Linked DNA regions of Mus musculus: all the other regions are reported to be linked to region 1. The links are microRNA targets in miRTarBase. Many come from high-throughput screens and were not tested one by one. Region 1 holds a microRNA gene; each other region holds the end of a gene's coding sequence.

Region 1 (3,084 bases):
AGGGAGGTGCTGGGCTCAGATGGAGATGACCAATGTGGTCTCTAGCTATTCCACCACATCCGGGCACAGCCTAAGAACCGACGAGATTAACCATGGCCAGTCAAGCCTACAGAGAGGCTAAGCAGTGTGGGACACCCCTCAGCCTTCTCACCTGGGCCACCCATCATAGATAGGATCACCAAAGGGGCCCTTCACCACTCTCTTCCCACGCCTCTTCTGCCTTGCTGCCTCTGCAGGGACCATCCTTGAGGGTATTTGACCTGCCTGTTAGTGAAAGGGTCCAGGCTTGAGGCAGGGGATGGCACCCCAGTGGCTCAGATTTCCTTCTGGGGCTTGGAAGATTAGTGTTTCCTATCATCACAGGCCTGCCCACCACGGGCCAGGCCACACCAGCGCTCTGGGAACCTTGTTCCTAAGCTCCTCTGCCCCATAGACTCCGGATCTGGGGCCACAATGTGGACTTAGACCTAACGGCTTCATTTTGACCCAGGAGTTTTGGACTTGTCCCTTGACCCTTGGCAGAGAGGAAAGGAGGCGTGACAGTAGACGCTAGGGCTCATGCAGAGAGCAAAAGCTGCCTGGCTTCCTAGGTCTGGGCACAGGGCTTCCCTCCACATGCTGGGCAAACCGGTCTGAGGCCTGAAAGAAGCAGGTCTTTTTCCCTTCTGAGAGCAGAGCTACCTGAGACCAGAGACTGAGCCTCAGTTTCTTCAGCGATCTCTGCTGGCCTCTGGAAGTGCTAGTCGTTAGGGACAGACTGGCCATGAGTGTCCAGCCAGGGTCTGCACTTGCGCCCGGCTGGCCACCATGGGGAGTTAGGCTGCCTCCCACAAGGAAAGACTGTTTTGAGCCTCCCCCAGCAAGGTCAGCTCAGGCCACCCTGAGAAGAGGGAGGGACAGAACCAGAGCCCACGAGGGGGGGGCTCTTCCTGCCTAAGGGGAAGAGGGTACATGCCCAAGGCTACTACTTAGCAGGAGTCCTGGTGATTCTACTACGCTAGAGTTGAGTGGACAGAGGCTGGGTCTCAGCCAGGTGGACACTGGAAGCACCCTGGACCTTGGTGGCCTTTAACAAATGACACCCTTCCCCCATTGTGGCCATTCCTGTGCTCAGTGCCCCGTGCTTTCTCTCTCTTCTCCCCGTTTCCCCGTCTCCCCGTCTCCCCTTACTCTCTCTGTGATTTTGTTTAAATGTCCCTGGCCCATTTTGAGAAAATCCCAGTCTATTAATACCCTCAGCACTGAGCGGCCTGTGTCGGGGGTGGGGGGTGGGGCTCACCATGTCCCCAGCTCTCCTTCTTCCTCTAGGAGGGACCTCAAGAAGCCACAACATCCAGCTCTACGCCAAGACTGACTGACGGCCTTTGGGGTGAGGTAGTAGGTTGTATGGTTTTGGGCTCTGCCCCGCTCTGCGGTAACTATACAATCTACTGTCTTTCCTGAAGTGGCCGCAATATCTGCAGTGGATACAACGGCGGCCCTGGCTGGGGAGACTGAGGGAGGGACAGGGGGGTGATAACTACCATGCAAAAAGAGCCTGACAGAGACCTTGGATAGTCCCTTGACCTCTCTGGGCTGTTACTCATCTGTATAAGGGTTGGGGCATAGCGATGAAAACAGACAGCATTTTCAGGGCACCTTCTCTCCCTGGCCCACACTGAAGGGGCCTTCCTGCCCCTGGCCCCATATCAGACCTGTGCTCACAGGTCTCCATGAAAAGAGGGTCTGGACTAGACCTTCAACTATGTTCCAGAGTTGCCCAGGCTTTCCAGCGCAGGGTCAGGCCTCTGACGAGCAAGCGTCTCTTCCGAGAAGAAATTGAAAAGGAGCCATTCTTAGCACACCCATGAGTACAGCCTGCAGATGGACCGTGTAGGCCACTGTCCCCTGTCCCTGGGGCAATGGGTTCAGACACCAGAGGCTTCCTCAATCTGTTTGGTAGGCACAGGCCTTTCTCACTGAACCTCTGTCTCCACTTCCCCCTCCCCCACCCCGCCCTGTGCCCTATGGCTCTAGTGGCCTGTGGCCAGGGTGGGTGGGGAGCGGCTGGGCCTCCTCCAGAACACGGACACCGCAGGGTGAGGTAGTAGGTTGTGTGGTTTCAGGGCAGTGATGTTGCCCCTCCGAAGATAACTATACAACCTACTGCCTTCCCTGAGGCGCCCAGGGACACAGCTACATGGAGGCCCCCGCTCAGCAAGCTAAATGGAGCCACAGATTGGGTGGGGGCTATGACGTGGGACCTGGGTATAAATAAAGGATGTTCTGTCATGAACTTACAACTGGTCTTTGGTCATTTTGGAAATACGGAGACTGGCCGTAGAGGACATGAGATCGCCAACCACACATTGACACGTTTGCATGCATGAAACATTGCCAGCAAGAGCTGCTCTGGGTAGTGAACAGTACCCTCCCCTCATCTTCCATGTGCCCCTTAGTGGCCCAAGCCCTGGACACCCAAGCCCCTCCACATGAGTGGAACAACAGACCCTATGACTCCAAGTCTCAGAGCACAGTACTGGCTTCCAGTGTCCCTCAGCCTGTGGTCCTAACCAGATCTGAGAAATTCCTGGCCTATTGTCCCTTCGTGCCTGCCTCCCTTGGGACAGTATTGGGACGGCTGTGGATGTAGCTTTCTAATCTTGGGCCAAATGGTCATATACCCTTCTTCCAGGGACCCCAAGCCTTCATTCAGGTGGTGGTAGTGGGGTGAGGGTCAGCCCTCAGCTAGTGTTAGCTTAGGAAGGTAAAGTCCTAGTCTTACCTGACCAGACACCAAAGGCCTCCCTCGTGGGTGGATACCTTGACCCTGATGTCCTGGCCTTCTCCCCATAATGAATCCCCCGAGTCCCAGCTCCCGTCCTGAACCCAATCTGCCTCAACTCTGCATATCCACACACCTCCATTGACGCACCTAGGCAGACCAAACACCCCTAGAGCCCCTCTATATCCACCCTCAGCTACCAGACCTCTCAAACTTAGCCAGCCATTTCCAAAGATCTGATACTGTGCTAGCCCCAGGGTTGAGAGTACCCAGAGGGACTCTCTGAGTACTCTCTGAGAGCAACAGGGATGGCTTCCCAA
Region 2 (3,084 bases), not on the chromosome of region 1:
TCCCTCCTTCTCAAGGAGTCCTGTGTCCAGCATTGGGTCCTGAGGTTTCTCTTCCTCTCTCCACAGGTTCTTTCAAAGCATAACTTTGGCCCCATCACCACCGACATCCGAGAGGGACAAGTGTTCTACTATGCCGAAGACTACCACCAGCAATACCTGAGCAAGAACCCAGACGGCTACTGTGGCCTCGGGGGTACTGGAGTTTCCTGCCCGATGGCCATTAAAAAATAATTTCTCTCCACGAAGCTGTCCCTGAAGGTTCCATCAACACCATGATTGCTGGATGGAGTGGCACTGCTGTGATTCACATCTGTCACTTTATGCAAAGCACACACACCACACGGACCTTTACATGAATCTGGTTGTTATTGGGGTTTGATTTCCAGAGAGTAGCATGACAAGGTGATACACTGTAATCTGCCTTCTGATCAGTCCGGGTGGGGACAAATCATGACATTTTAGTGGATTGTTTGGATCTGCTCAGACTGGAAGGATGCTGAGGGTTCTGAAGCAGGGGGATGGCCAGGAGAGCACAGGGTACTGGGACCCCTTGGTCTGTGCTGACATACCTCACCCACTTCCCTGCCCTCGGGTGCCCAATTCATTAGTGTCTACAGATCCCATGAATCATTTGCCAAATCGCTTTGCTCTGCTGGCTCTAGATGTGTACTAGGGGTTTCTCTCCCCCTCCATCCTCTCTGCAGAGAAAAGACAGGAGTGACCTTAATGAATTCTAACATTCTGCTTACAGCTATGATAAAGCTTGTTCTAATAAAAATCTGCAGTTTGGTAATAGCAACCGCCTGCTGTGAGTCTGTCTTCCCTTGTTCGGGAAGGATATTTAGAAGTATCGCAAAGCCAAGTTAAGAGCTCAAGAAGAAACAACTACAACAAGCCCTCCTGTTTATTTTTCCCTAAATGGAAAATATGATTAAAATTTTTGGCAAGTGGGCACACCCCTGGCTCTCTATGGCTTTAGTAATGAATAGTTGTTTTCAGGGCGCCTGTAACATGTCACATCGAGGACATTGGTACTTAGAGCAGATACCTTCAGTCTTTGCCCTTGAGAAGAAGAACATTCTCTTTCAGACAAGAAACCATAGCCATATAAACAAATGAATAGGTAAAATAACTTCAGGTCCTGATGCAGGACAGAGAGATGCATAAGGAAGATGCTGGCTCTGGGACCACGGAGCTGTGCGCAGGGTCATCTCAGCTGGTGAGTTCACCACAGTCCCCATAAGGTGGCAAATAGCAAGGTGGAATGGCTTACCAAATAAAGCAATCTGCCAGTGAGTGTGTGCCAGGAAAACACACACACACACACACACACACACACACACACACAGCTCAGAAGCAATCACCCTGTATGCTTCAGCAAAAAGAAGAAAAGGGTTTCTAGACCAGAAATACAAGTGGTCATGGCAGAATTGGAGAAACTGAAAGGCCCTCCAGACTTGAGTTTGCAGAACAGGTCTCTGTGAGGAACTGTCCAAGGAGGGCAGAGATGGCTCAGGGAGGATCATTAAGGAACCTGAGACCTGGCTTTAACTGAATAGCAGCACTAGGCCGTTCAGACTCCTCTTTTCACTTGGGAACAAGTGAGCAGAGGGTTATTACCATGTGAGGGCACAAATCTATGCAAGGGTCGGATGCAAGTTCCTGGCTCCATTGTAGAGATGTAAAGGGAGGCAGTTTAGGGACAGATCTGCATGCAGATGCCATGGGACCATACAAGGTCATGTGGGAGAGGATGAAGGTGCTGACGTCTAAGGAGTGGGGCCTCCACTGGTGCCCAGGGATGTCTGGTTACAGGAGAAGCAGATGAGCTCGGAAAGTGACACTTGAGGTTGTCTGTGAAAGAAAGGTGTCCCTCGGGGAGAAGGAACAGGGCTCTCAAATCATTTCAGGGAGCACTCCTTGGGCCTTGCCCTAAGCCTTCCACAGAACGGAACCTAGGATTTCCCTCGGCGACTCTGTGCTGGGTACACAAGCCTAGTCCAGGCACTTCTAGAGTCGCAGACTGCTGATAATGCTCAGAAGTCCCAGGAGGACCATTGGATAGAGTCACAAAGACAAGCAGGGCCTTAATTTAGCTCTGTTGCATGGGACCTGGGATATCTGACTTAAATCTGAGGTGTTTCCCCACTCCATGGAGACACCACTACATTGACCATGTCTCTAGGTCTATAAGCATGACACTTTAACATCTACCTTACATACACATGTTGGCATGACCTGCTCCCCGCCACCCAACTCAGTCTCATTGCCTTGACCTTCTATCTATACCCTCACCACTCTTGGCCTTCTCCTGAGAGTGTGCTTATCCATACATAGATAAATATAGAGTTAACATGCTCCAATCACCGTCTTTATTGGACTCTAACATTCTAGGCCACCACCCACCTCCCCTCTATACCACAGGGCCCACAACAATTGTTCTCATCCTTCCCATAGCTGTTAGGCCTGTTCATCCCAACTGGCTCATTTCTCCTTACAGAAACTGCAGATAAACTCACCTGTTGTCCACCCTTCCTGTGCCTCATGATAGCCTGGTGCTTCCTGAGGCAGCTCTCCATGCCTAATCTAGAATCTATAAGCAACAGGTATCTTTTAAAATTTAATAATTTAATTTTTGGAACAGGATCTCACTGTGTAGCCCTGGCTGGCCTGGAACTCGTGTCAACTAGCTGGCCTCAAACTCACAGACATCTGCCTACCTCTTCTGGAATTAAAGGCAGTGTTCCACCAATACCCAGCTGAAAAGCTGTCATTTTTTTTTTAATTTGGTTAAGATTTTATGTGTATGTAGGTGCACCATGCGCGTATCTTGAAGGTATTCACATGTGCCAAGACTTCTTTTGTGGACCTGAATATCATCAGCTATTGTGCCTCGTGTTCACCAGAAAGGGATGCATACTTTGTTTTTGCTGGTGGAATAATCTATGGATTACAGCAGAGTCCGTGAGTATAGTCCGGGCCTTCTTTACCAGCCAGTGGTCTACCTGCCTGCTTCCTCTGGTAAGAGAGATGTTCAACTCTCCCGCTTTCCCTATGGGCTGGTTTGTCTCTCCGTACAGTTTC
Region 3 (3,084 bases), not on the chromosome of region 1:
TGAGAAACCCTGTTCTAGAAAAAGACAAAAGAAACATCAGACACTATAGGAGGGAAGGTCTGTGGCTGAAAGAAACTTCCCTCTATAATCACTTCATGCTCCTTGAAACTTTTGCAAAACTACTTGAGATAAAATGAATTATCTAGGGGCTGGAGAGATGGCTCAGAGTACTGGCTGCTCTTCCAGAGGATCTAAGTTCAATTTCCAGCAACTACATGGCAGTTAGCAACCATCTATAAAGGGATCTGATGCCCTCTTCTAACATGCAGGCATATATGCAGACAGAGCACTTGTACAATAAATAAATAATTTAAAAATGATTTCTCTACCTATATGTTGGTTTCCAAAGGTAGTTATATTCTTACAAATGTAATCAACTTCCTCCCTCAAGGTGCTACCCTGTGTGTCATCTGCCAAGACAGAAGCTCCTTACGTCAAACAATTGTCCGCTTAGAGTTAGAGGATGAGTGGCAGTTCCGCCTCCGGGATGAGTTTCAAACTGCTAACAGCAGTGATGACAAGCCTCTCTACTTTCTTACTGGACGCCATGTTTGAGTTTTTGAAGAGACCAAAAACAACAAACATACCCCTAAGGGGGTGGGACAAACAATTATTGGGGATTTTTTTCCTTTAAAGTACAATCACTGTGGAGCAAAGTGCAACATATTTATCTCTTCTCCAAAGAACTCCCCAAATGTGACCAAGGTCTTTGGGGGCACTGTCCTCCTTCAGTTCTGCTGACAGGACCCAGGTTCAGGTCAATGCTACAGTGGGCAGTTATGCAGTTACTTAGGGTGTGCTCTGCCTGTGGGAGCCCGAGGATGTATTCTGGAGAACAAATGTGAAGTCCACATTGTTTTTTCTACCATACTATGTTGGGGGACAGGGGACTGTCAGCATTAACCAGCCTGAATGTGTTACATGAGATACACCACTGGTGTGGAATGACTTGAAGATTAACATTTGAGGCCTGAACCCTCAGTTTCTCTTCAGATCTGTACTTTGGTACAGTATTACTCAGGGGTCTGAAATGATAGAATGTAGAAGATATTTGTATTTAAAAAGAAGTAGCTTGTCTTTTTCTGTGCAGTGTTAGTTTAAATTTTATAATCTTATATGTATTGAAACCTTTGGCAAAATTTCCACAGGAGTTAAAAGTTTACTATTTAAACTGAACAACAACAACAACAACAAAAAAGTCAGTAACTGCAGAGCAGACATTGTGTGCATTTATGAAGGTTCTCTGAGCTGAACTCCTTTGTCTTTCCCACTTGCAGTCTTTAAGCATACAGTGATGCACTCTGCAGTTATGCCATACCACTGTGTTGGTTAAAAGTGAGCACCTGGAAACCCACATATCACGCTGAGATTCTAGTGTGGAGTCTTAACTATCTGGTTTCATCAGCTCAGGCTTAGCATCCTTCAACAACTCAGTGAGTAACTGCTGTGCTGCACTGACACATAAAAATGAGTGGGGCAGAAAACAGACCATAGACAAGTTTTCCTTATAATTTTATCAGTGACAATTTCCCCAAGTAAAGAAAATTCCATGAAGAGTCTTTTAGACTCATTGATGTGGACTCATTAAAGTTAGCAGGTAGTGTATGACTAATACCAACAGTAGGAGGAATAAGTTTCTATGTATTTCTAACCAAATATTTTAATCAGAAACATTTTGAGAAAATATTCTACAATAACCTATTGGAAGTTTACACTGAAATTGCTCTGGTTTGTGGATTTTTCTCAGCCCATGTGTATGATTTTTATCTCCAGTTAAAACAGTCACTTTTACTTGAATCTGTCTTAGGACCTGAGACTACTAAGAGCCCTAATGAGCCTGCATTGCTGGGAGTGTTAGGTGATGGATCTGGTTATCCAGGGATAACAAGAACTTTACAGCTAGTCAGAGGATGGGATGTATTAGAAGGAAATGCTCTGCAGATCTCTTGGTTTAACATAGCTACATATGATGTTTTAAATGTATTTTAAAAGGATAATTCCTTTTAACCCCATTTTTAATTGACCTTCAAAGAGGACCTTGCCTTATTAAAAATGCTTACTCCTTAGCTTTAGAACAGCAGCATTTCAGCAAAGAGGTACTTTCCAGGGAAGTCTGAGTTAGATAGGAATTAGATACGTGTTCTTCCTTTGCTGAACAGAACCAATGCAGGTAATACCAAGAAAGCCACTGTTTGTGCAATATTCCATTAACACTATGTAAGATGAATACTTGAAATAATTCCACAACAATTTTATGAGGGGCAGAGGCCTCTTAGGAGTGCTTACTGGTTTATTCTTTTTGAACTAAGATACTTTAATGCAAGTACTCCAGGTTAGGGCTACAATCTAGAAATTCAAGTGATCATGAACTGTAAATACTATTCAACTCTGTTCAAGAGAAATGCCAGAATAAAACCAAAAGGCCATCACTCCAATAGTTGAGAAAGCTCAATTTACCTGCCTCTTTGTCTCCAAAGCCTAACTTCATTAAGGCTTGGATCTTTTAAAATGACCTAAATCAGTATAATTCTTTAGAGAATGCTAGGTCCTCTTTAAGGATGAAATTGCACAAGCCCAGGCCACCATGACTTGTTAATTCATGTCTTGGTGTGTTTGATTTTACCTTCCATCCCTGAGGACACTAAGGTAGGACAAATAGATTCACTAAGACATTGAGGTAGGGCAAACCTGGTAACTTACCTGCAGACCTGTTGAACCTTGGCATGTGTGACAGTTCACACAGGTTAATATTGAATGTAAACTAAACTTAGAAATGCTGTAGTCGAGTTTTGGCTGTAATTCATGCAACTGCTTCTTATGATTGTTAGAAAGGGGCATCTGTGTTACTGTTACTGTAAAACTTTCTTCACCAAAACTTGGTGAATTTCACTCACTAGTCAGTCTACCTCACATTTTGTTTATGACTCTAAGCTGTCTTAACTTATGTCTACAGTATGTTCTTGTTCTTTCATTTGGTGAATGTATTAAAATTCCCTCCCATTCCTCAGCTTTGAAAAGCTTGTTTTCTTTAAACCAAATTTTCCGAATGTTAAAAGGTGAAATGAGTTCCATAATTGACAATGT
Region 4 (3,084 bases), not on the chromosome of region 1:
GTCTCCGGCACCGCAGGGAGGGTGTGGACCATGGAGACCAACTAACTCAGCACTGAGCCTCAGCAGCTCTGGCTAGAATTCAGCCTCCAGAGTAGTAGTGAGGGGTAGGATGCTGCCCAGCAGGTGGCCGGGCCTGAGCAATGACAGTACCTGAGAGCACTTGCATTGAGCTAGAACTCAGTGGTGGTGACTGTCATTCCCATGTACAGGACTGGATCTTGTGACATTGAGTATGCTTCCACAGATTCTCACTTTAGGGGGAAGTGTGGACTCCTGACCCATGGTCAGCAGTATGCCCCCCCTCCCCCCCATAAGCACACAGGGATTTGGTAAGAGGCGTAGGTCTGTGCTCAGAACTGTTCCAAGTTGAGGCTCTGATGGGGCAGAGCTACTGTGGGCCCTCCAGCCTGCCTTCAGCATGCAGGGCGTCAGGACAGGTGTGGTCGGCCAGCCTGAAAAGCTGGCCAACACTAACTGTGAAAGGAGTGAGTCCCCAAGGCATCCTCACTCCCTTGGCCATGGTTATTGTGGTTGGTGAGTTCCTGTCATTCTAGAATTGTCAATGAGAGATGTGAGTTTAATATTAAGCTTTCTCGGGCTCGTGAGATGGCTCAGTGGGTAAGAGCACCCGACTGCTCTTCCGAAGGTCCCGAGTTCAAATCCCAGCAACCACATGGTGGCTCACAACCATCTGTAACAAGATCTGACGCCCTCTTCTGGAGTGTCTGAAGACAGCTACAGTGTACTTACATATAATAAATAAATAAATAAATCTTTAAAAAAAATATTAAGCTTTCTCTGGGCACCTACTTTATAAGATATATATATAATCTGATCACACAATTGGGTGTGTCACCTCCCCTCACCTCTGTGGCTGGCTGAAGTCCACTGACAGCAGGAAGTACCTACAGACCCTCTTGCCTGAAGGAGGACCCCCCCCCCGCCCCCCGCCACCTGATCTCTGTCCTGCTGCTTTGTCAAGTGTAACAACTCAATGCTTGAAGCAGGACTATGGCACCCTTGGAAATTACCTCAGTTGAATTTTCTCAGTTCACTAACTCCTTCATTTCCATTTTTAATCTCAGTCTTCCTCTTCAGGTAACAAAACGGGCTCTTCCCTCTCTTTACCCAGTTATAGTCCTCATCCATGAATGTTCCCCATCAAACCCAGAAAGCCTGGAGCAAGTGCCTTTCTTCCCAGCACTTGATATATATCGGAAAGGGTGGATCAGAGAGTTTGAAGCCAGCCAGGGCTGCAGAGTGAGACCCTGACACAAAAAGAAGCCTGGCGATCCCTTGGTCTGAGAGACCTGGTCGGCAAAGTTCCAAGCATACGGAGAGACAGACCTGCTTCCGGGCAGAGGGGCCTCAAGCGGTGCCTGGCTCTTCAATTCCCAAAGGACCAAAAGGAGGCCACACTGAGGCTCTCAAGGCTCCAGCTCCTCAGAAGAGGCAGAGCCCCTAATGAGTGAAGCATGCAGACAAGTCTCTGTGGCACAGAGAATGGGTGACAGTCCGGGTGGACCCTGTGCCTAATTCTAGGTCTTGTCTTGGCTCTGGTGATGGCTGGTTAGGAACCCAGCAGGGCAGATTCCTCTTGAGATGATAAGAAGCCACTGAACACTCTGGGGGAGCGCCCATCCCTGATGGTCATGTTCTTCCCCTGAATAAGGATGGATGGAGGCTTGAACTCCCTGTCTGAGGCCAAGGCTGAGACATAAGGGCACACCTGAGCAAGCTGTGGCATGGGGGACACAAAAGCCAATAGGACCACAGTCACACTGACTGCACCATGACCTTAAAGCATTACAAAACAGCATCTTAGCAAGGTGGTAGTGGGCATGCCTTTAATCCCAGCACTCAGGAGACAGAGGTAGGCAGTTCTCTGAGTTCAAGGCCAGCCTGGTCTACAGAGCAAGTTCCAGGACAGCCAGCTACACAGGGAAGCCCTGTCTCAAAAACAAGAACAACCCCTGAACAACAAAGGAACCAAAACCTTTCCAGTATGACAAACCCCAACCCACAGCTCTTCCCTCTGCCCTTGACCCAGTCCAGAGCAGTGCCATGTTGTGAACCTGAAAGGTGACAGATGGTCTCTGCAGAGGCTTTGGTAGCACAGGACTCCACAGCCCAAGGAGCAGAACATGCCAGGCCCTCAAAGCTAACGCACCCAGAGAAAGAAGCATGTCTAAAATGGATTCGCACACTGTCCAAGCCTGCAGCGACTTGTTGATGTCCCCGTAAGTCGTGGGTTCCAAACAGTGAAGGAAGGACGTGGTGTTTGTAGGTCTGCAAATGCTGTGTATGGAGACGATCAGCAGACTGCCTCTGCACTGGGAACTGGCAGCAGATGCAGAGCATGCAGGAGCAGAGACAGGGTGGCAGGTGACAGGCAGCTCAGCGGCTGCCTCCCTGGTCTGTTTGCCATACCTGTCTTAGAACTGGCTGTGAAGGAAGGGGCCCTCACAGGAGCCTGACATGGAACCACAGAACATGTGGCATAGACATTAACGTGGGGAGGTGTCTGCCACATTCTGCTCTTTTCCATGTAGAGGGGCTCTACTCAGAATGCCACTGGGCAGAGACCACTGGCTTGGTTTCCTCAAGCCATAGGAATGTCTCTGGCTGTGACCCAAATAAATACCCAGATGTTCTGTGCAGAACCAGACCAAACACTTTAATAGCAGACGAAAAACTTGATGTAAAATTTGAAAGCGGGGAACAGGCAGTTAGTTAAGCATTGCTGAGCTTTGGTCTCCAGTGTTTCTTCCTGGCTGAGCGTTTTCATGAGAAAGTTCTTTTGACAGTCTGTTGCTGTGGAGGGATGCGCACAGGAGCTCACAGGAACTTGAGGGAATGCTGACATCAGCTCAGCTTCTCCAGCCACCGAAGCCCTGGACAGACCTGCAAGAAGTGCAGAGAGGATCAACACACAAGCCTCGAGTTGGGCCTGGAGCCTTCAGTAGCAGGCAGCTGGAGACACCACCACAGAAATGAGGCAAGTGTCTCCACGCCCTGCTGCCGGGAAGGCCAATCATCTCTTACTCAGCCTCCCGCAGGCCGGCAGCCCTAAACCCAACACCT

The links. The annotated mature microRNA mmu-let-7b-5p reads UGAGGUAGUAGGUUGUGUGGUU and lies in region 1 at 2,080-2,101, shown strand. An mRNA with a match to its seed (bases 2 to 7 or 8) in the 3' UTR can be bound and repressed. Matches are read on the target gene's strand: a 7mer-m8 pairs with bases 2 to 8, a 7mer-A1 pairs with bases 2 to 7 and ends in A, and an 8mer does both.
Region 2: the mRNA of Msra is a reported target of mmu-let-7b-5p. Seed matches in the 3' UTR shown: 7mer-A1 at 567-573.
Region 3: the mRNA of Greb1l is a reported target of mmu-let-7b-5p. Seed matches in the 3' UTR shown: 8mer at 2,903-2,910.
Region 4: the mRNA of Nup214 is a reported target of mmu-let-7b-5p. Seed matches in the 3' UTR shown: 7mer-m8 at 1,871-1,877.

Annotation. Positions count from the first base shown.
Region 1 is chr15:85,705,246-85,708,329 of GRCm38, forward strand. It overlaps Mirlet7b (microRNA let7b), which reads left to right and starts at 2,074; the gene lies at 2,074-2,158. It overlaps Lncppara (long noncoding RNA near Ppara), which reads left to right. Exons shown (of 2, transcript NR_110483.1): 2 at 1,309-2,279. Mirlet7c-2 (microRNA let7c-2) reads left to right here and starts at 1,358; the gene lies at 1,358-1,452.
Region 2 is chr14:64,120,336-64,123,419 of GRCm38, reverse strand. Msra (methionine sulfoxide reductase A) reads left to right here. Exons shown (of 6, transcript NM_001253712.1): 6 at 67-799. The coding sequence ends at 231. The region is part of intron 1 of 9630015K15Rik (RIKEN cDNA 9630015K15 gene); the gene reads right to left. Among named protein-coding and RNA genes, the nearest start is that of 9630015K15Rik, 5.6 kb to the right of the region's middle.
Region 3 is chr18:10,559,929-10,563,012 of GRCm38, forward strand. Greb1l (growth regulation by estrogen in breast cancer-like) reads left to right here. Exons shown (of 33, transcript NM_001083628.1): 33 at 392-3,013. The coding sequence ends at 555. Among named protein-coding and RNA genes, the nearest start is that of Esco1, 49 kb to the right of the region's middle.
Region 4 is chr2:32,051,939-32,055,022 of GRCm38, reverse strand. It overlaps Nup214 (nucleoporin 214), which reads right to left. Exons shown (of 36, transcript NM_172268.2): 36 at 1,048-2,904. The coding sequence ends at 2,871. It also overlaps a transcript of Fam78a not described here. Among named protein-coding and RNA genes, the nearest start is that of Mir7674, 2.5 kb to the right of the region's middle.